3 linked regions of the Lytechinus pictus genome follow. The protein of the gene in region 3 purifies or fractionates together with the protein of the main gene of each other region. This does not show direct contact. Links are inferred from orthologs where the notes say so. Each region holds a gene or a part of one and is shown on either strand. Other genes may lie near its edges. The genes, in order: anaphase-promoting complex subunit 4-like, E3 ubiquitin-protein ligase RNF8-like and mitotic spindle assembly checkpoint protein MAD2A-like.

The links.
Region 1: the proteins of mitotic spindle assembly checkpoint protein MAD2A-like (region 3) and anaphase-promoting complex subunit 4-like purify together in Homo sapiens (affinity purification with western blotting; 14 studies listed by BioGRID and IntAct, with this or other methods). This does not show direct contact. The link is inferred for Lytechinus pictus from reciprocal best matches to the Homo sapiens genes MAD2L1 and ANAPC4.
Region 2: the proteins of mitotic spindle assembly checkpoint protein MAD2A-like (region 3) and E3 ubiquitin-protein ligase RNF8-like purify together in Homo sapiens (co-immunoprecipitation; 3 studies listed by BioGRID and IntAct, with this or other methods). This does not show direct contact. The link is inferred for Lytechinus pictus from reciprocal best matches to the Homo sapiens genes MAD2L1 and RNF8.

Annotation. Positions count from the first base shown.
Region 1 is NC_087256.1:13,044,896-13,052,900, forward strand, and holds the start of anaphase-promoting complex subunit 4-like, read right to left. Parts: upstream 3,102-8,005; 5' UTR 3,059-3,101; intron 2,934-3,058; exon of another isoform or gene 2,699-2,933; intron 1,800-2,698; 5' UTR 1,767-1,799; coding exon 1,575-1,766; intron 1-1,574. Other genes in the region: small integral membrane protein 19-like, read left to right, coding at 5,190-5,308, 6,630-6,760. UniProt on the Homo sapiens protein: Component of the anaphase promoting complex/cyclosome (APC/C), a cell cycle-regulated E3 ubiquitin ligase that controls progression through mitosis and the G1 phase of the cell cycle.
Region 2 is NC_087251.1:18,828,216-18,835,525, reverse strand, and holds the start of E3 ubiquitin-protein ligase RNF8-like, read right to left. Parts: upstream 3,189-7,310; 5' UTR 1,619-3,188; coding exon 1,484-1,618; intron 1,177-1,483; coding exon 325-1,176; intron 1-324. UniProt on the Homo sapiens protein: E3 ubiquitin-protein ligase that plays a key role in DNA damage signaling via 2 distinct roles: by mediating the 'Lys-63'-linked ubiquitination of histones H2A and H2AX and promoting the recruitment of DNA repair proteins at double-strand breaks (DSBs) sites, and by catalyzing 'Lys-48'-linked ubiquitination to remove target proteins from DNA damage sites.
Region 3 is NC_087262.1:14,784,555-14,792,438, forward strand, and holds the start of mitotic spindle assembly checkpoint protein MAD2A-like, read right to left. Parts: upstream 3,115-7,884; 5' UTR 2,753-3,114; intron 2,516-2,752; 5' UTR 2,253-2,515; coding exon 2,177-2,252; intron 245-2,176; coding exon 98-244; intron 1-97. UniProt on the Homo sapiens protein: Component of the spindle-assembly checkpoint that prevents the onset of anaphase until all chromosomes are properly aligned at the metaphase plate.

The sequences.
Region 1 (8,005 bases), on a different chromosome or scaffold from region 3:
TGGAAATTAATAAAATAAACATGAATTACCAAAAATTCTCCCAAAATTCTTATCACACTTTTGCAATCAGGCAGATGCTGAAATTCATTAAGAGGGGTGAAAGCAATAATAAATAGGTTTATTGCAAATGACTTATCTTCAAAAGCCCTAACATTCAAAATACAACAAAAAATTGACTGAACGATAGTGATTAAGATTGAAGTGAGCAGCAAAATGGGAGATCCAAACTTCTCACAGCATATCCAGTGATTTTGAGGTGCACTATAATCAACAACTTGCAAACATTTCTTCCAAAACTCAATCTCATGAACTGGTTGTATGGGCCTTGCTGCAGAATACAATGCAATCAAAACTCAAATCCAGAAATCAAACACAAATTTAATTTCAATGAATTACAAGTATCCATTTTAGACTTGTATTTCATTTTTTTCCCTACAAAATGGGCAGAGTCTAACTGGAAATTAAACAAAATGGTAAATGAGCTACAAAGCAATTAGACCAAACGGTTAGATAGCCATTTGTAGATGGATTAAGATAAGACCATGTAAGATGGAACAAAACAGGAAGAAAAAGAAGAGTGTAGACCAGGGTTGTGCTCAATTACAAGGTAATTGATCAATTACGTAATCAATTACATTTTTTGAGTAATTGTAATTGTAATTGACAAAAGCAATTGGTAATTGTAATTGAAAAAATGTAATTTAATTGAAAAGTAATTGTAATTGAACATTTCTTCAATTACGTAATTGTAATTGAAGAAAGTAATTGAGCTCAACCCTGGTGTAGACCAACTGGTAATTTACTGTTAAAGGACAAGTCCACCCCAACAAAAAGTTGATTTGAATAAAAATAGAAAAATCCAACAAGCATATCACTGAAAATTTCATCAAAATCAAATGTAAGATAAGACAGTTATGACATTTTAAAGTTTTGCTTAATTTCACAAAACAGTTAAATGCACATCCTGGTCGGTGTGCAAATGAGGAGATTGATGACATCCACTCACTATTTCTTTTGTATTTCATTATATGAAATATTAAATATTCTCATTTTCTCTTCATTGCCAAGTGAAACACCGGTTAATTCCTCCCTGAACATGTGGAATTAACATTGTTTAATACTACATGGTTCAGTCAAGTTGGTCCTCATGGTCAAATCTATAAAAAATGAAATATTGTGTAATTCAGACAATAAAAAACAAAAGAAATAGTGAGTGATGGACATCATCGACTGACTCATTTGCATGTCACTCGAGTTGTGTATATCACTGTTTTGTGAAAAATAAGCGAAACTTTAAAATGCCATAACTTTATTTTACATCCGATTTTGATGAAATTTTTTGTGATATGCTAGTATGATTCTGAATCATAATGCAATTTTTACACTGATTTGTAATACATGTATTTTAACTTTGTATTATATTTGTTTTTTATGTAAAGGTTTTACTGAGAGAATAAAACAATTTGAATTGAACAATTTGAATTGAATTGAGTTTGATTTTTCTCTATTTATTCAAATCAACATTTTTCTGGGGTGGACTTGACCTAAATATACTACACTTTGTAGGAACATACCTCTCCATTTTCATTGGCTAGGGCAATGAGATCCATCTTGGGGGACCACTGCATAAGGGTAACCTCTACAGAGAGGTTTCTCTCTTCAAGCTGACGGAATGACTGCTGCATTGTGGGTGATCCTGTGGCTTCTTCAGATCTATAAGGTATGCCTTGGTCAAGATGAGGACCTGTCTGTTTCAACAAAACCATTAAGATGACAGCCCATCAAAGCCAATGGCAAAGCTATAGTATAGAGTAAATATGAGAATCATAATTACAATTACAGAATTCTTTATAGATTTTTGATGCCCAACGAATACAGACCAATGAACCTTGTCATTCAGTAATGTTGTTGTTCTATTACAGATTCTTTGTTGGAAATGGAATATGGATGTGCAGCAGAAAAAAAAAACAATAATTCAAAATTTCAATTTGCTCTGGTTAAACTTAAAGTTGCCTCATACAGTAGAGGCGCACGGCTAATATTGGAGACTGTCTCCAATGTGGGAGATTATCTCCAATATCAGACTCAGAGACTTTTGTAAAGAATTTGGGTATCCGATTTCAGAGACAGTCTCCAGTTTTGGAGACCAATTTCCTTTATTTACATTTGCTGCAAAAGGATTACCTTGGCGGCAAATAAAAATGTGATAAGCAGATTCCTCGTGCAAAATTACCCCTTTTCACCGTCTACTAGTACTACTTTAAAAATTCACCGTCTACTTTTGTTTTGATATTTTTGATAAGGATTTTTGTTGTCAATCACACACAAAACAAACGGGCTTCTGACCTCAGTGAGACAAAATTTTGGGTGGAAAAAACATGCTTTTGTTGGTGTTGTTTCTTTTGTCCTTTTGCAAAGCAAGTCTCCAATTTGGGAGATTGTCTCCCCTATTGGAGAGAGTCTCCTATATTGGCCGTGCGCCTCTACTGTCATAGTATACCAGTACTACGGGACTACTAGTACTACTAGTACTACTACTACTAAGTTAGTAGTAACGGTACTCATGGTACTACTACTAGACTAGACTCTAGTCTAGACTAGAGTTCGAGTGAATTTTGTTTCTGGGAGTATTTCTTTCTTCGTGAAACTAGACTTAAATTTTCTAGAACATATATGATGGGAGAGTGGAAGTACATACCAAAATATGGCTCTATGCATAATTCAGTAAAAGGCCTACAAAAATGTCAAAAGACAAAAGCTTTGCCGCGCCGGTGTCAAGACTCAAGTCTTAGCACGAGCTCGGCCCGCGCCCGAAGTTACGGCGGCGGCGGAGCTACCGGTAGCAGTAGCAGCCCAGATCAGCCTCACTCGGATCGGTCAGTGGCACTGGCAGTGCCCCTGGCCCTGCCTGGCTGAAAATCATGGCATCGACTACCAGTACGGTATTGTATTTGTAGGGTAAAGTATGATGCGTTAATATGAAAGGTAGACTCTCTATTTATATTTTCTATTCTATTTCATAAAATTATTAATCAGAACTTTAGAACAAATGACTTACAACGTAAAAAACAAGGCTCCGCGCGGGATCGGATTGGAAGATCAATATGGGACGCCATAAACTAAGAATTAAAAATTAAAATTCATTTTACTCCAACAATAATATATTTCATTTTTGGATAAATATTTCATTCTGAGAAATATATATTTTTCTCTTGTATAAAACCATATTTTTTCCTTTTACGAAAACAATGCATTTATCTTTTCACAAACATAATATTCCACTTTAAGAAAATGTATTTTTCACTTTTCACAAAAAATGTTTCACAAAAAAAGTTCCAAGAAAGTTAAATATTTTACTAAAAACACCCATAGCAATTATTTTGTTAAAAACTATATGCTTGCGAAAAGTGATATGTTTTTTTAATAAAAAATTAAATATATTTTCATAGCAAATGAAGTGATTCGTGGAGAGTCACTGTGGGAATGAAATATATTTTTCTTAAACAGCGCCTTGAGCACATAATCAATGTGGATTTGGCGCTTTAGAAATACTCTATATTATTATTATTATTATACGTTTTTTCAGGGGGTGGGCCAAAATTTCGAATAAACTATGCTTGTGAAATAATTATGATTTGTGAAAGCAAAAAGCTTTTAACAATGTTCCTTAGTAAAAGTGCATGTTTTTATTAAAAGTTAAACCTTTTTTCTTTAAGCCAGTCGAAAGCTTTAAAATAGCCAGTAATACTTGAGTGTCATCTAACATATTACAAAAGTGTAAAGGGTTCATTAATTATTAGATGTTTTGCGGACGTTAGAATTAAAATCTAACAATTCAGCAGGTTTAAAAAAAATCTAAACACGTGACACACTTTGACGGTCAATGATGCATACCCGGTACATGTCATATTTTATTTCTATATTTGCGCTGTTTACTATGTCGTACAGTAGTTGTTTAAACAAATTCTTAAACAAAAATGTTTAATTTGTCATATTTAATTCTCCATATGGCGTAGTCAGGGGCTATATAGATCGTTCGGCCACGGCACCTCGCCGTTCGGATTTGAATTATTTGGCCTCACTAAAAAAAGCGCCCTAGTACCCCTAGTATCTGGGTGATGTTTTTATTATTAAAAGCAGCACTTGCACTTACTCTACAAATTATCAGTCATATTAGAAAGCTATTGAATACTAAATCTTTCAGCCAATTCCATGATTGAAAAGATATAACAACTCCCCATGAAAAAATAACAGATATCTTATTTCGATCGGGCACCAGTATCGAAATAACATTTTGATATATAATAAAACACATTTCTATTTCATATCCTTCACGTCGTCATAATTTAGGGTATACAGCCCTAGTATACACATTCATCATGAATTGGAGCGATAACTTTGTGGGATTTAGCTAAACTAAATGTAGACTTAAACATATTTGTAAAGAATTAAATGTTTTTTAAAAGAGGAATATTTATATTACAGTGAAATGATTTTATAAAGTCAAACTGAATGTCATATATTCCACGCTTGTTTTGCCATTCTGTCTCTTTTACGTCTATATAGAAAGTGATTACAAAATATAATAATATAGATCATAACTCGATCAAGCCCTATCTCAAGAAAATAAAATTGCTCATGCACTTGAGTCGCTAGTCTTTAGAGATATAACAACCTTCCAGCCACAATTTTTTACACATTAACCAAATGTGCGGCTGCCAATTTTGCTCAGTCGACATGTTCGATATACAAATCAGAATTTATATAAAGGCAAGACACTGCTCCTCTTCATAAAAAAGTACATTTGCCAAAACACATCCGATGCGTGGTTTATTTTTAACCATCAACATACACGTTTTATATTAGGTTCATTGAGTGGGACAAAATTACATCAGAAATACATATATAATTTATTGTTTTTTTAAGATTGAAGACAAAATTTATAAGTCACTAGTAATTGTGACTTAGGTTTGCTTTAATCAATACCTCTTTAAAATATGAAAAATCATAACTGATTTAACATGATTAGGAAGGGCCTTTAAATGGCGTTTCCATTTTGGCACTTTCTCTCCAAGTCTGCATGCTATGCACATGACACTAAATAATTGGTTCCCTTATGGCCTGCCATAGACGGTTTTATTTATTGTTATTTTTATGCGATTGATTGACTGATCCTAAAAATAATCCAAATGGCGCATGAAAACCATGGTCTTCCTCCAGAGGAACACATCGATCACTGGAATGAAGCAACTAACATTTACATGGTTGTTATCGTCGTTTCGCTTTGGTTCTTTTTCTATGTCCGAAAGTAAGTTTCGACTTTAGCTTTCTTTAGTTCAGTTAGACTAATTTGAGTCGAGTAACGTTCTGCCCGGTTGATACTCATCGTAATTCGTATATAAGCGCGTGCGATTTCTAGTGCACACAAATGAATAGAGCCAATCATATTTATGTGTTACTGTTAGGCTCCGTGCATCAAAAGTCTATTAAAGTAAACGTAAAATTAAGACAATCGAAAAGTAGAACAAGCTAACTCTACAAGTTTATGTGGGACTTAGCTAATTGCCTATTCTGGCAATTGGAATTTAATTTGGAATCATTCCAGGGTCTGGCAGGGCCAGGGAAAGCCATAATAATAATTAACAGAGACAGAGAGGTCAGAGCCAGAGGTCGTGTGGCCAGCAGGGGGGGGGGGGGGGGGGGGGCAAGAGCCAAAAATATCTTGGCCATAAATGAACAGGCAATGGCGTAATGAGGCGAACATTTTGAGGGGTGGCTGGGATTAGATATGGCGTATCGGGCAAAAATTATATTTTTGAAATGAAAGTTGCGAGTGAGGGAGCAAAAATTTCAACATTTTCATTACAAAAATCAAATTTTGTGAAAGATTTTGACAATATTCAGAAAATTATGTCATTCATCCTTCTCTTTCCTTTTTAATTTTATTTCATGCTCTTTACACCACTGTGAACAGGGTTTTATTCATGATTTTTATTCATTAAAGGAATAAAGGTCAAGTCCTCTCCAGAAAATGTAGATTTGAATCAATAGAGAAAAATCGAACTAGAATAACACCGAAAATGTCATCAAAATTGGATGTAAAATAAGAAAGCTATGACATTTTAAAGTTTCACTTATTTTTCACAAAACAGTGATACACACAACTCAGTGACATGCAAATGAGACAGTCGATGATGTCCCTCACTATTTCTTTTGTTTTTGTATTGTTTGAATTATATCATTTTTTACAGATTTGACAATAAGGACCAACTTGACTGAACCATGTAGTATTAAACAATGCTAATTCCACATGTTTGGGGAGGAATTAATCATTGTTTCACTTGACGATGAGGAGAAAATTAGAATATGTCATATTTCATATAATAAAATACGAAAGAAATAGTGAGTGGATGACATCAGTCTCCTCATTTGCATACTGACCAGGATGTGCATATAACTTGTGAAATTAAGCGAAACTTTCAAATGTCATAACTTTCTATTTTACATCCGATTTTGATGAAATTTCAGCGTTATGCTTGTTGGATTTTTCTGTTTTTATTCAAATCAACTTTTTGTTGGAGTGGACTTGGCCTTTAACATTTTTTCCAATATGTGTTTATGTTTTTCAGGAACAAAGGAAAGATTGTTAGAATGCTGACTATGAAGAAGACTAGAGATCAGACAGATCTTATTAACAGCAGGTATAAAGAAGAGCTACAGCAAGTCAGATTAAGACAACAACTAGAATCATACTACATCTGTAAGTTCCTTTTTGTCACTATGCTGTGCAAGTATTAGATGTCAATATTTTTATGTCAAGGCCACTGTTTAAAAGGGTATATTCTTATATTTCAGCACAAATAAAAAAAAAAGGTTTGAAAGGCACAAAAATTTCGAAGTGCGGGGGGGGGGGGGGGGGGGGGGCACAGAGGGTGGCTTTGGATTAGATAAAGCCCTGGCAATGTTTAAAAACAGCCATACTGTCAGGTAATCCAGAGACTTCATTATTTTCTACACATTCACTGGTGAATCTGGTTCAAGGAAAGAGCATGAAATGAGGAAGATTTATTTTTTCTTTTCTTTTCATGAAAAATTAATTTGTTAAATTTCAAGGGGCCATCGCATTTTTATCATTATGGTAATTTTGCTATCCATTGGTAACTACCATGGTAACATCGCTCATCAGCCAATCAAAATCAAGGATTTCAGGGAAGTTGGATAGCAAAGTTACCGTAATAGTAACTTTATAACGTAATAGGCCCTGGTGTCGGAAGAGGTTCATCTGGTTGCTGGTTAGTAGAGAAAAACTTTACCTGTACTTCATTAAAAACACAGGTTAATTACATGTACCGTACCTCGAGCGAAGTTGGTACAGGCTCCACTCCACTTCACTACCGCTACACTACGCTCCACCTACCCGAACTTCGAGACCGTGATTTCGATCTGATATTCCGAGTGACAAAGGTGGGATTTCATGGGGGGAAAATATAAAATTCATGCAACATCACGATCTTTAAAAACAATTAAAACTAATATTCTTACTTTACACAAAATTTCATTTCTTTTCCATGCTTCTATCAGTCTCAAAATTGGTGATTTAGAGCCAACATGAAGTTCCTCACACATAAATAATTCGCTGCCGATTTCAAAACATCGCATGAGCTCGGACCGGACCCGGTACCTCGCACATATCCCACCTTTGTCACTCGGAATATCAGATCGAGTTCACGGTCTCGAAGTTCGGGTAGGTGGAGCATAGTGTAGCGGTAATGAACTGGAGTGGAGCCTGCACGAACTTCGCTCGAGGTACATGTACCGTTACCTCATAAGACTTTTACCAAATGTTGTGCTGTCTAAGGACTGTCAATGTGCCAGTGCCACAAAGTCAACATCTCTGTCCAATCTGTTGACATCTGAAGAAGCCTACAGCAACTTGTACATAGTAGGCGAATGTTAAGGGTACTCTACCTAAGTTTCATGATTGTGTAATGAAGAATTTTATCTC
Region 2 (7,310 bases), on a different chromosome or scaffold from region 3:
ATGGCCAAGTTTCATGAACTAGGTCCATATACTTTCTAAGTTATGCTGTCATTTCAAAAACTTAACCTCGGGTTAAGATTTGGTGTTGACGCCGCCGCCGCCGCCGTCGGAAAAGCGGCGCCTATAGTCTCACTCTGCTATGCAGGTGAGACAAAAAAACTGAGAGGGTCGGGTGCAACCACTGAGTGAATCCAGATGGAATGACCCATTTGGCCCGTGACAGAATTCTTTGTGTAAAAACTGATTTTGGTGGAATGAATCTGGACCTTTCAATAATCATAATTACTCTGAATTAGTCACTAATGTGAATTTAAATCAATTTACCTTTTCTTTCTCATGTTTGAGTTCTTCTCTCTGTTGTTTGAGCTGTTCCATTAGAGCTGTCTCTTTCTCCTTGACCTGCTTTTCCAACACCTCCTCCATCTCACATTTCATCTTTGCCAATGCTTCTTCCTTCTCCTCTAAGAGTCTCTTTTGCATTTCTACTGCTTCTTCTTGAAGTCTTTTTTGCTCTACAAGCTCTTTGTCCTTTTGCCTCAGTTCCTCTTCCTTCTCCTCCACCCTGGTCTTGTATTCAACCTCAAGCTTGGCATTCTTCTCCTCCACTTCCTCCTGCTTCTTCACAGTCGATCGAAGTCTTTCAAGTACACTCTCTCCTTTGTTCTCTCCTTTCTTCTCTGCTAAGAGTTCTGTTATTGCTTTCAATTCTTCAGCTGTCATGTTGGCCCCTACCTCCTCCATGAGCTGCCTAAATCCAGAGTTCTTAAGATTACCATCAAGAGAAAGTCTAGTCCTCTTTACATCAGATGAGGTGGAAGGTTCATTGAATGCACTACTTCTAACATTCTGTTCATCTCTTTCTTTTCGTTTTCTATCACCCGATGATGAACAGCCAAGACTACCCGACTGAGAATCTGACTTTACACTATTTTCGCTGTCCATGGGTTGAGAAGATTTTGCCGCCAACTTGAGCTTGATTTTTTCGGCCCTCCTCTTCCAAGCTCTCAGGAGTTTGTCCACTTCCTCTGCGGAATGGTCTATGCAGCACACTGTGAAGATAAACTCATTCACTTGTCCTTTGTTTGCCTGACCCAACTCTAATTTATCTCCAATTCTCAGGTTTGCCGGCTCCATTGGTTTTACCCGATTGTCATTAATCTGAACACCATTCAGGCTCTGAAAACATGAAATAGATAATCAATTTTCAATAGCCCAATTGATATACATGTACAATTTTAAATTTTAGTACGGGATCAGAACAGGTTTCTTGTTGTATTCTCATAATTTTTTCCAGATTAAAAAAATCAAGTATAATTCACCCCTATATGAAATACTAGGATTTATTTCCTCCATCAACAGACAAGACAAAGGATAACTTTCTAAAAACACGATTGAAAATTCAGTTCAAAGTTCAGTAACAAAGAATATGACCCAAAATACAAACATTCAGTATAATAATGTGAATTTCAATGACATAACATACCTTGTTATCAATCACTGTCCATCCTCCACCTTCCACTTGTTTGAATGTACAGTGCTTTCTTGAGAGGAATAGATTGTTCTGTGACGCTAGCAACTGAATGCTCACATCCATCCCTCTTCCAACAGTTACCTTCATATCAAATTTAAAGAAGAAATTTGGACGAAAATGATTATTGCTTGCCTGGGAAGCAAATATAAGGATCAAAGTAGTCACAACTTGTTAAATATTTATTCCATATATAAGGGCACCATACGTTTATTCGGTGGCATTCAGGCCATCACAAAAAAAAAGAGTTTATATGGAGCCTTGTCTAATATTACCTCACTTTTGGTGTGTATTGTTTTACATCTTGTTGCTAATTGCTACACAACCATTTAATGAGTTAAAATTGCTCTTTGTTTTTATCTCGATGTTCAATAGATTTTGTCATTCCTTGACCAGTGGCTATGCCAAAAACAAAGATATGAAATTCAAACTCATTGTTCAGTATACCCCATTGTTGTGTGTCCGGATAGGTAATTTGTACGGACAAGACGGTAATTTCAGGAACTTTGAGATTAACATTTATTTAAGAATTGAAAGTAATATCAGACAAAATTACAAAGCACAAATATTCTAAATTATTTTAGTATTGAATGCACCAATGTTGCGGAAATCCAAAACAAAATATGATTTCATCTGCTAGACTGTCTGGACAACAGATCACCCATCCTTACCCCTGTTCCCCCCATAACTAAAACGGGACAATCGCACATAGAACTTTCTTTATTCATTGTAAATTCCATCGTGTCCTGGGGGTGGGGCATGTCAGCGCATCTAACCTTAACCTAATATTGAGCGTGAATTCATTTCAAATCCGATAAAATTCTAAGTTGATAAGGTTCCTTATATTCTTGAAAGTAAATGTGCCAAAAATCTCATAACAATTTGAGAGAAATATATGATCTTCTTTGAAAAACCCCACAGCCAGTCATTTTGATTGAACTAAACAATGGCGCACACCCATTCACTTTACACACAATTCAGGGATTTGTATGAGAAAGACTGCATTTTGAGGCTGTTACATGAAATGCCTGAAATTCAATATTTTTCCACCACTTTGACTTGGATTTTTCAATATCTGTCTAGATCTATAATATATTGCAGGTGTAAAGTTTGTGGTTGTTGCAGGTCTTCTTTTATTAAAATTGCGCAGATATGCGCATGCGCAGACAAGGAGCACTGTGTAGATTTGAGCACCTACCTGTACAACAAACTTACAACTAACATAATGTTTGTGGGTTGTTGTTTTTTATTTAAATTTAATGTTCTGCTAGCTTATGGGCCTAAAACAATTATGGCTAGCACTCGGCTAGCAGTATGCTACATATGCCATGGTATGTTTAATACTATAGTTAGCACTAGAATGACAGCTTCAGTCTCTGTTTCATCAGTTATTCTGCTACTCCAGATAGATAGATTTTAGCTGTCTACCTATTAAGGCTAAGCATATGGTAGGGGGTCTTAAAACTACGCACCAATTGTCGCACAAGCAATTTCAATGGCAAAATGCGCAGTTGCGCAATCTGTGTGTGAAACTGTGGCTGCAGTGTGACAGGCGATTCCTATTTAAGTTTTCTACAGATGAAGAACAAAGGCTGCAATAAATCATTAAATGTACAGAAAAACCTGAAACTGTTTTGAATTTTTGAGTTACATTCACTTCTACTTCATATTTTCCCATAATAATATGTACATACCCGGTATTTTAGAAATTGAGGCACAGCCTCAGGGGCGGATCCAGCTCCTGCCAATAGGGGGGCCAGAAATTTTTTTTCACCCATATTCTCCCCGATCAGCCGTTCAAAGATGATTTTTTTGTTTGTTTCTTTGAAGGGATTTTCCCAGTGGCGTAATGAGCCAAACATCTTTAGGGGGCTCGATATGGCGTATCGCATAAAATTGATAAGAAGTTGCGAGCGAGCAAAAATTTCGACATTTTTATTACAAAAATCATAGTTTGTGATAGATTTTGACATAACATTTGTAAAATAATAGGCCTATATTTCATCCTTATGCCTTTCTTTTTCTATTTTTTTTTTCTTGGTCTTGAAAAATTAGGGGGGGGGGGGCAAAACTCTGATGTCCTAACAGTCATTTCTTAGCTTTATTTTTATAAAACAACATAAAAAAGTGTAATAATGTCATAAGCCCTATTTAAATAGTGCGAGCACGAAGTGCGAGCTGAAAATTATTGGAATTTAATGTATTTTGTCCTTAAAATTGAATATTCTGGGCAATGTTTGTGAACCTGAACAAGATGCGTATGTAACCAGATAATTATTGCGAGCGCGAAGCGCGAGAATACATTTTTAATATGGATTCTGGCTTGATCAGAAAGGGACCTGTTAAGGACATTTTGCAGTAAGCCATTAAGACGATACATATTTTAACTATTAAATAATGCGAGCGCGAAGCGCGAGCAGAATTTTTTTTGACCTTTTGACCTAAAAAATTGACATTCCAAGCATTTTTTGTAATCATCAACGGTATAGGTATAAAACAAAACAATTGATGCCGGAAAAAAAATGAGATTTCAGACCTAAAAATTGGAAACTCTATTCATGTTTTGTAAATCATGAAAAAGGATGGGTAATTTGGTATCTTCCTACATTAATAATGCAAACGCAATCAAGAGCAGAAAATTTTTGATTTTCTGATCTGAAACCAGATATTTTAGCACGTTCTGAATAAAGATCAAGCTGAATACATCATCTTTTATCATGAAAATCAAAAATGCGAGCGCAAAGCGCGTGCGGAAAAAATTGATATTCCGATATGAAAAGGGTGAATTTAAGCACTGTGTAGGGAAATTGTGAAGTAGATGTGGACAGCACTTAATAAATGATGCGAGTACGAAGCGCGAGCTGATATTTTTATTATTCTGACCTAGGACCTGGACCTAGGCCTAAGGACATGTTCTCATCATATGAAAATGATGACTATCTTCCTATTCCTCTTCCTAAGCGCGATATGAAACTTGTCGATATTCCTTTCTGAAAAAGGGACAATTTAGTTATAAGGAATTTATGAAAATGTTATCATCATGTTTATTAATATAATAAGACTATAAAGAGTGAGTAAAAGCTGTTAACATTGAGGCCTGAAAACTGGATATTTTAAACACTTTTGTAATCATGAATATGATTTATGAGTTGATATATTTTCAACGATAATGCGAGCGCAAATCGTGAGACTAAATTTTTGATAAACTGTCATAAAAGGGGGATTTTAAGTAGTTTGTTATAGAATTAATATATAAAGAATCTTATGGAATAAACAAAGACAATATGTTGCCCTACTTGGCAAATCAAATAATCATAGGATTTATGAGTTGATATATTTTCAACGATAATGCGAGCGCAAATCGTGAGACGAAATTTTTGATAAACTGTCATAAAAGGGGGATTTTAAGTAGTTTGTTATAGAATTAATATATAAAGAATCTTATGGAATAAACAAAGACAATATGTTGCCCTACTTGGCAAATCAAATAATCATAGGATTTATGAGTTAATATATTTTCAACGATAATGCGAGCGCAAATCGTGAGACGAAATTTTTGATAAACTGTCATAAAAGGGGGATTTTAAGTAGTTTGTTATAGAATTAATATATAAAGAATCTTATGGAATAAACAAAGACAATATGTTGTCCTACTTGGCAAATCAAATAATGCAAGCGCACAGCGCAAAGAACTGCATATGATATTCACACGATAAAACGGACATTTTATAGAACACTTTAAAAAATCAATTTGTAAATCAAACAAAATAATGAAAGCTTGATGTCGAAGCTGAAATATGCTATGTATATTGACTTCAAAACTTGATATTTTAAGCTACATATCAGCCTATTGAGCAAGATATGTATCTCATTGAACAGGCTATACAAGCGCGAAGCGCGAGCAAACATCTAATAGTGACATGAAAATATATGCTAAAATCATTTTCCAAGACTTCCCCTGACCTATTTTATTCACTCGTCTCCCTCCTCTTTTCCTAAGTTTTTCCTATTTTCTTTCCCCTTCTTTTTTTCTTTCTTTCCCCCTTTTTTCATTTTTTTTTTGCTCTGCCACTGGAGGGGGGGGGGGGCCCTGCCCCCCCCCCCTGGATCTGCCTATGCAGCCTCACAAGATACATGTATAGGGGAGAGTGGGGTAAATAAGGCTGCCTGTGAGTTTTTAGCTCACTGCTCAAGAATGGTAGCTCAAATGGATTACTGTTCATAAAATATTTGAGTTCCTTAGGCTTAGCACAGATTTCGAGTATAGAGAACGTCTCACAGCCCAGTGCACATGGCCAGGAGGAGCACAAACCCAGCAGCACCTCAAAATCAAAATTTTGAAAGTAGCATTGCCACCTTAGAGAGGCGAGTACTGTACCTACCCAGTAATGTGTATTAACTTTTATCTTAGTTTACTTGTGTAAGGTATTATTGGGCATGCCAGAACTGTAGTAAATTTCACCACTTTCCCTTTGTTTTTCAGACTGGATGCCTATGAACTCATCATGTCTGATGGTGCAAATGAGGCCACCCAGATTAATACATAATCAAAACTCTGTGATTACATCTGTTAAAACTTTAAAATGCAGTGTAGACATCACCACACTTGATTATATATAATGTAGGTGTCCACTACCAATAAAACACTTAGATACACAGTAATATAGTTCTGTGACAGTAGAACACACAATCCAAGAATCTTTTTTCCATAATATTGGATAGGATTAATAAATCAATCCTAAAATGGGGGTGTTTTTGTTAATAACTTAATGTTAATAATAATTCCCTATAACTTCTGAAAAAATAGCAAAATAGATTGTGTTTATGTGCCCAAAAATTACACAGAAGAAATGGTTCCTAACTGTACAATCATTAGTGTTTCTAGTAAATGTTAAAGGACAAGTCCACCCCAACAAATAGTTGATTGACTGAATTAAAGAAACAAATCGTGCAAAAATTTCAGGGAAAGGGGGAGTGCGCTCTCGGTGACACGAAGCTTGCATTTTGACATAATTTTGTAAGCGCATACAGCTAAATAAAAGTTAGGGTAAGAAAGAGACGTGGGGATCGGGGTGAATGTGACAATTAAGAATTGAATTGAATTGAATAACTTTCTTGTACATAAAGGAAATTCTTCTTTCACTAGCTGGTTTACACACATGTAGATACAACGTATATACACAGAACACAGGATGGAGTCAGACAGCATGGATAAAAAAATTATGACAGGAGACAGAGGCCTCGATCGATTGTGGAGCAGGCAGGGGACGATCGCCCCTAAAATATGGGAGCAAGCATAATTCATACATGCCCCCAATAATTTTGAGGACTTGAAAAAATAAATATGAAATGTAAATCTTGAAAAGCACTTTAAGAAAAATTAAACCTGACATAGAAATATCAAACATACAACAACAAAAAAAATTCTCTATTAAAATATCGGATGCGTATAGCGATCAGCAAAAAAAAAAATCACTTTTGCCCGCCCCCCCCCCATCCGAAGCATATAGATTGACTAGCGGGATAGATGAATTAAGGATAACCTATAGAAGCATTGAGAGTTAAAAAGGTGTAATCATCGGAACTATATAACCATTGAAAAGCAGTAAAAAAATTGTGAACATTATATTAGAGTTCCCCAATCGCTAATTCCATTCTTTTTAATTTCTGTTTGTGTTTTTTTTGACGTTTTAAATAATGTTGTAACCCGCACCTGTTGCGGTACGGGTTAACCTGCCGGTATGCCCCCGATCGCGGGTTGCGGGCCAGGCCGAGTTCATTC
Region 3 (7,884 bases):
TTCAGCATTATGCTTGTCTGATTTTTCTCTGTTGATTTAAATCAATATTTTTATGAGGTGGACTTGACCTTTAAGACATGAAAGGGGAGAGACAAACCTTTGAGTTGATCCATGACCGTTGACAGGTAAGCTTTGAGGTGTTCATCTGTGGTCGTCAGAAGGGGTAACTTATACATGTCGCATCTTGCAAATGTCTCTGCTGGATAGATGCCACGCTGGTACAACAAGTTATTGATGCCATAATCTAGAGAAAGAAAACACAATTACTAAACCCATTTTAACTGGGCCATTTCAGACCAACATATACTGGGGGGGGGGGGGGGAATTTCACCCCCCCCCCCCACTCAGATCTCGGCTGTTGATTGCGTGATTGCTGTGAAAATTTGCACGCACATAGAGCCGGATGTAAACTGCAAGATTATAAAGTAAAATTTTCAAAAAATTAATTGCTTATATTTTTTATTAATTAAGCAAATAAGCGTATGAAATTTGCCCTAATTTTGGTTTTTGTGTATGTTTTTGCCTTTAATAACTCAATTTATATAGCTAGTAGAATGCAAATTTTTGGTGAACATATAGATTTTTACATTTCTAACAAAAATCTACAAAAAAATTGCTGAAAAATAATTAATTTCCTATAGTCTATGTAGATCTATCTTAATTTCTTATTGTTTTTTTGGCATTATCGTGGTTTATGTCACCAGTCCATTCATTGCCTTTTATTTCGTCAGCGGTGGTGACATCTTTCCACTCCCATTGACTTTGTACACAACGATCGCACACACACCGACACACACGACAAGAGAGGTGACAAATTTCACGATAAGGCCGTTTTTTTTTATTCTTATGTATTTATTTGTTTTTTCAAACCTTTGTTTTTTATTGTTTTTTTTTATGAACTCTGTCTGGGACCCTTTTGCATTCATAAATATCATAAAATAAATCCATCTACTGATCTAGGTCTAACGTTAGACACCAACAAAAGTAAAAATAATCATTTATGATGATGATTTTTGGTTGAAAAACACAATTTGCATTGACTTAATCACGTTTTTGAGCAATTTTTGGACCGCCATGCACTTACAAAATATCGCGTAATTTCGGAAACGGGTACCGTAAGGGCACTAGTATTGAACCCGTTTGGAGAGTTTCCTCAAATATATAGAAATATAGAATTAACCTGAATTTCAGACCCATCTTATTTCCAAGACTAAAGAGCAAATACTGCATACTGGTTATTCTTTTTCCGTTATTTTTTCCTTCAACCCATCAACTATGTGTGCGGGCAATCGAATTATACAACGATGGTTTTTGGCACTAGTATTCAACCTAGCGATGAAAGATGGCCCTGTCTCTCAATCTGCCCTTGACCTTGTCCCATCCGACAATGGACTAGATCATTTGAGACGAGACCAAACATAAACAGGTAATTAATCAAAGCCAGCGCCAGAGACTTACATAGATCTAGTTTAGCAATCTAAACCATTTTGAGATTCGCTATCTATCATCACTAGGTTGAATACTAGTGCAATTCAGTGCAAAAGGTCATCGCCGCATAATTCGATCCTTCACGCATACAGTCGACAGATTGATAACTTTAAAGAAAATACCGACAACAGATTACCCTGGAAATAGTCAACTCAAAGGTATGATTCTGAAATTAAGATGAATTCCCTAATCAGACCTATTTCTAAATATTTGGGGGAATTTGTCAAAATCTTTGAATTATGCCGGGTTGAATACTAGTGCCCATACGGTACTTGGGCGAGGCAAAATCGGTCTCAAAAGATGAGCAAGACTTGAATTTGAAAGTAAAGTCAGCGAGCGACGGCGACGCGTTCAAAAAAATTTGCGCTGCGGCATAGCGGAAAATTCGAGGGGGGGTCAAATTAAGAATGCCACATTACAGTCTAGTACTCTAAAAGTTACATCTGTAGCAAAAACTCAATTACAATATCAAGGAAATTGACAGGTCGACAATAAATTAAATTTATGCAATCAGCATCATAAGATTTTGAACATGGCACAATTCACAACGAATGGGACTGAACTAACTCCATGCGCGTAACTCTCCCTCGAGCGCTCCACTGAACTAAACTTCTTTAAATTCATCGCTTCAACTGGGAATTTACCGTCATCTAAGGAATAATATCGCTTGAGTTGGAAAGATACTCACAGAAGAATTCTGCAACAATTTCACTTGATCCTTTCAAGGTAATTGTGTTTTTAGTTTTAGTAGCTGTCCCCGCCATTTTTCGATCTTCTCCGAGCTTGTAAACAACGTGATGTGATTGGTCTATATATCCAGCCTCCAGGGTCGTACTAGTCTAGACTCTGCAGGCATGTCACGTCAGACCTTGCCTTGATTCGAATAAAAAGAGAAAAATCCAACAAGCAAAACATTGAAAATTTATCAAAATCGGATGGAAAATGAGAAAGTTATGACGTGTTAACATTTCGCTTAATATCACAAAATAGTTATATGCACATCCCGGTCGGTATGCAAATGAGGGAACTGATGACATCACTCACTCACTATTTCTTTTGTATTTTATTATATGAATTATTAAATATTTTGATTTTCTCGTCATTGTCATGTGAAATGAAGTTTCATTCCTCCCTGAATACGTGGAATTCCATTATTCTAACATTTTGTGGTTCAGACAAGGAGGTCCTAATCGTCAAATTCGTAAAAATTGAAATATTGTATAATTCAAACAATAAAAAACAAAAGAAATAGTGAGTGAGTGACATCATCGACTCTCTAATTTGGATGTAACTGGCTCGTTCATATAACTATTTTTTTAAAAATAAGCGAAACTTTGAAATGTCATAACTTTCTTATTTGACATCCGATTTTGATAAAATTTTCAGCATTTTGTTGGGGTGGACTAGACCTTCAACACATCCACAAGTTTTCCACGCAAAGACTAACTTGCTGTTTCAATTCCCGAGTGAGAGGGCCTTCAGTGCACAATGCATCAGTTAGCTGCACATTCAGACCCTTAACTTGAGTGAAGGGTTTGCACAGCATACTAATCTCTAATATTCAGGGCCCTGTGCTATAGAACGATTTTTTTTACTGGGGGTGCTGATGTACGTAATTTGACAAGCAAAAAAGAAAAAATATGTTTAAAAAAAAGGTTTTCACTACATGAGTGTAGGTAATTATCGTAACCTTTCTCCATTAGTTTTAACACCTAACATAATTCCTGGGTTGCTGCCCCAGCAGCACTCCCAAAGAAAATTTTGGGGTGCTTCATCCCAGCGCCCCCGCTTCCCAGGGCCATGCTAACGGTAAATTATAATTAGAACATCTTGGCGGTATACACCCATGCTTCCGCGGGCGGACGGGATTTATTTATTACCCTTCATAATGCAATAATGCAGTAATTCAAGTGTTACCGTTTCAAGTCAGCATCTCGCTCATCGATCGCATCGATGATCGCATCGTGACCATCCTGAAAGAGGAAATAACTCGTCTAAAACTTCAGCTGTCTGAAGAGATTATGGATAATAGAATACTGTGGGATTATGTTAAAATGGAAATTCGAAATTTCACAAGAAAATATTCTAAGAAAAAAGCTAAAGAAAGAAAAGAGAAGGTTGATAAGTTAGAAAAGGAAATTATGAAATTGGAAGAGAAAGTTCAATTACAGCAAACATCATCGAACACAAATTATATTTTGATTGATCTTTTGGCAAGAAAAAGAAGTGAGCTAAAAACAATATATGCGTACTTAAATGAAGGTATTAAAATCAGATCTCGAGCCCCATGGTTTGAAAGTGGAGAACGAGAAACTGCATATTTTAAACAACTGGTAGATTATAATGGTCGGAAAGGTTTTATTAAAGAACTTAAAGTTAATGGAAATGTAATTAATGACGAAACTAGTATTTTAAAAGAAATAAAAGAATTTTATTCTTCCTTATATTCTAAAGGAGAGGTAGAACCTGGTGACTGTTTTTTTCCTAGTAACTTACCAAAACTAAGCGAAAACCAAAGAAATCATTGCGAAGTGAAAATAAACCAGGGGGATTGTATTGAAATTTTAAAAGAAATGCAATTAAATAAATCACCAGGAAATGACGGTTTAAATGTCGAGTTTTATATTACATTTTGGCAGGTAATAGGTGACCTAGTCTTAAATGCTTTTAATGATGCTATGAAATATAAAGAATTGTCACCTTCACAAAAACAAGCAATAATTACAATTATACATAAGGAAGGTAAAGATCCGATGTTTATTAGCAATTATAGACCAATTTCCTTGCTTAATGTAGATTATAAAATCCTAACCAAAATACTTTCTAAAAGAATTAAGACCATTTTGGATAATATTGTGTCAGGCGACCAAGTAGGTTACTTAACTAATAGGAATATTGGCGATGCTGTAAGAATAATAAACGATATGATTTTTCATACATCAAATTTTAATAAACCAGGATACTTAGTTGCAATCGATTTTGAAAAGGCGTTTGACTCAATTTCACATTCCTTCCTTCAAAGGGTGCTTAAATCGTTTGGTTTTGGGCCGATTTTTAGTAACTGGGTTAATGTTCTTTATACCAACTCGCTGAGTTGTGTCTTTAATGGGGGGAAATCGACCGGTTATTTTGCAATCGAGAGGGGGCTAAGACAAGGGGATCCCCTCTCCCCTTACCTTTTTATACTTTGTATAGAATGTTTAACGCATTGTATTCGTAATGATAATTTAGTAAAGGGTATTCGATTTGGTGAAACGGAAGTTAAACAAATACTTTATGCTGATGATATGACTATATTCGTAGAAGATTTAGATTCAGTATATAGACTAGAATTAATTCTTGAAAATTTTAGGAAGACATCTGGACTTAGGATGAACAAAAATAAAACGTTTATTTTGCCTCTAGGACCCTCTGTAAGCCTTACTCACCCTTTCCCTTTTGGGAAACAAGTTGATATGGTTAAAATTCTAGGTATTGTCTTTTCATTAAATCCTGACGTTGCTGAAGAAATGAATTATAAAGAAATATTAAGCAAAATTAAAAAGTTATTAAATTGGTGGAAACAAAGAGATCTAACTTTGTTTGGAAAGATTCATCTGCTAAAAACATATGCATTTTCTAAATTGATTTATGTAAGTTCTTTAACGCCTATGCCGGAATGGGCTTTTAAAGAAATTGAAGAAATTTGTTTCGACTTTTTATGGCGAGGAAAAGATAAAATTAAAAGAAACACATTGTATCTGGGATATAAACAAGGGGGAATAAAAATGCTCAATTTTAAACTTTTTGTAATGGTACAGAGAGTGATGTGGGTCAAAAGACTGGTAAACGGTGACCAGAAAGTGAAATGGAAAAAATATTTCAAATTTCTGCTAAGACCATTAGGTGGTAATTTAATTTTTTACTGTAATTTTACACCTGATATGATCAATATAAAAATTCCAAAGTACTACCAGGAAATGTTAAGTATTTGGTTTGATATAACTGTGTTCATCAAAAAGGACATAAGTAATAAAAGAAATGAAATTTTTTTCAATAACAGGTATATTAAAAATGAAGGAAAAGCGTATTTTCATGAAAATATTTTCTTAAAAAACACATACAAATTGCACCATATTGTAGATGAACACGGTGAACTTAAATCAAATACTTATTTTAGATCTATGGGTGTAAATGACGACGAAATAGTAACAATTAATGAAATATTTGCACATGTTCCTGTAGAATGGAAAGTCGAATTAAAAAATAATACCTTAGTTGATGGTTTGAAGATTGAATTTATTTTCTTTAAAAATGTTTTCCAGTTTGAGTCAGTTTGTTCAAAACAGCTGTATAGATCATGTATAAACAAGATTGCCGACACTCCTGTCAGTTTTTACAATCTCGAATCGTCATATAACATGTCTGAAAAAGAAATTGAAAAAGTATTTTATCGTCCAAGATTTTGCACATTAGATAATAAGTTAAGAGAGTTTCAATATAAATTATTATACAATATTATCTTTGTTAACCACCATTTATATAGGTTTCGATTTGTATCGAGTAATGAATGTTCTTTTTGCGGTAAAGATGAAGAAACTTATAGACATATTTTTTTACGAATGTGAAATGGTTAAAGTATTATGGAAATTGTGTAGCAATATATTAAAATTTCCGATTCTTAAAAGCTTACAGTGGAAGGATATCCATGTTGGATTAGAAGAGACGACAGAAAATAGACAATTATTAAATCATATCATTTTACTTATCAAATTTTTAATATATCACGGAAGGGGGAATCATAAACTACCAACTGCTGAAGAGATAAAAGTAAAGCTTTTTAAAAGTAAAGAAGAAGAAAAGAAAATTGCTATAGAGCGAAAAACATTAACACAGCACTATAAAAAGTGGGAACACCTAAAAAGCAATTAATTAAGTAGGATGAGGAAGGGATGGCTTTATCCGGTTTGCACACGTGCGGGGTTGGCTGGTCTGTCTGTCACTATAAACTGTCCGCTTTTCTTTACTTTGCATGTCACTTATCTCCTTTCTTTCTTTCTCTTTTTTTTTCTTTTTCTCTCTCTCTCTCTCTCTCTTTCTTTCTTTCTTTCCTTCTTCCTGCTTTTCTTATTTTTTGTATTGTTTTTGTTTGTATTGTCTAATTGTTTTGTGTCTTGTCTGTGTGTGTGTGTGGGGGGGGGTTGGGTGTGAGAGCGATTTCGTTATTTTATGGACGTGTGTGGGGAGTGAGCTCTCGAACCCTTTCCGGTTTTTTTTATATTATAAATTTCATTCAGTTTAATCAATGTCGAGCAATCAATTTTCTGCATAGCTATTGTATGATTTTGTGAATTTATATTGGTTATTAATTGTTGATTTTTGTTACTGAATTTATCCACTGTATATCATATATGTTAATACCATGACATGAACGATTATTTGTATTATGGATAATTATTTGTCTTTTGTGAACAGTGTTTTGTTAATATTGATTTGTAATATTTTACAATGTACCATTACTTTGAACTGAATGATTAATAAATATTATTACAAAACAAAAATCCTGTTCATCGTTTCAAAAAGTGCATAGAATCTGAGCTTTGGGGTCCGGATATCTTTTTTTTTGCTCGCGCTTCGCGCTCGCATCAATTGTTTAGAAAGATACCCATCGCGTTCATGGTCACAAAAAGTGCTTTAGAATCCTCAGGTTTGGGTCGGAATATCCAAAATTTTCACCTCGCGCTTCACGCTCGCATACAATGTTTAGTTCGATAGCCATTCTGTTCATGATTACCAAAAGAGCTAAGAATGTCTAGATTTTAGGTCAGATTACCAAAATATTTCAGCTCGCGCTTCGCGCTTACATCAATTGTTTAGATAGATATGGGTATACCCATCTTGCATGTTCATGGTTACAAAAAGTGCTTTAGAATATCAGGTTTTGGGTCGGGATGTCAAAAAAATTCTGCTCGCGCTACGCGTTCGCATAAAATGTTTAAGTAAATACCCGTCTTGCTTGAGGACCAAAAGTGCTTAGAATGTCTAAATTTTAGGTCAGAATATCATTTTTTTCAGCTCACGCTTCGTGCTTGCATAAAATGTTTGTATAGACACCCATCCTGGTCATCATTCATGTTCATGGGGGCCGCCATTTTTCTAAAAGTACACAAGGGCGCCAAACTCAGGTGGGGCCCACGGGTTGCAAATCCTGTAATGCGTCTGCCTTATTAGATATCTCATCTTGTTTGTAAGGAAAACTAAAACTTCAGACTTTAGTGTGGACTACCCCATAAACAAAAATATGAAGAAAATCAGCTTTTAGCAGCTGACTGGGAAAATGTAGGTGAAAACAGTTTTTCCGCTCCGCCCCTAAATTTTGATGCTTCCGCTGCCAATGCATGCTAATATTCAATATTA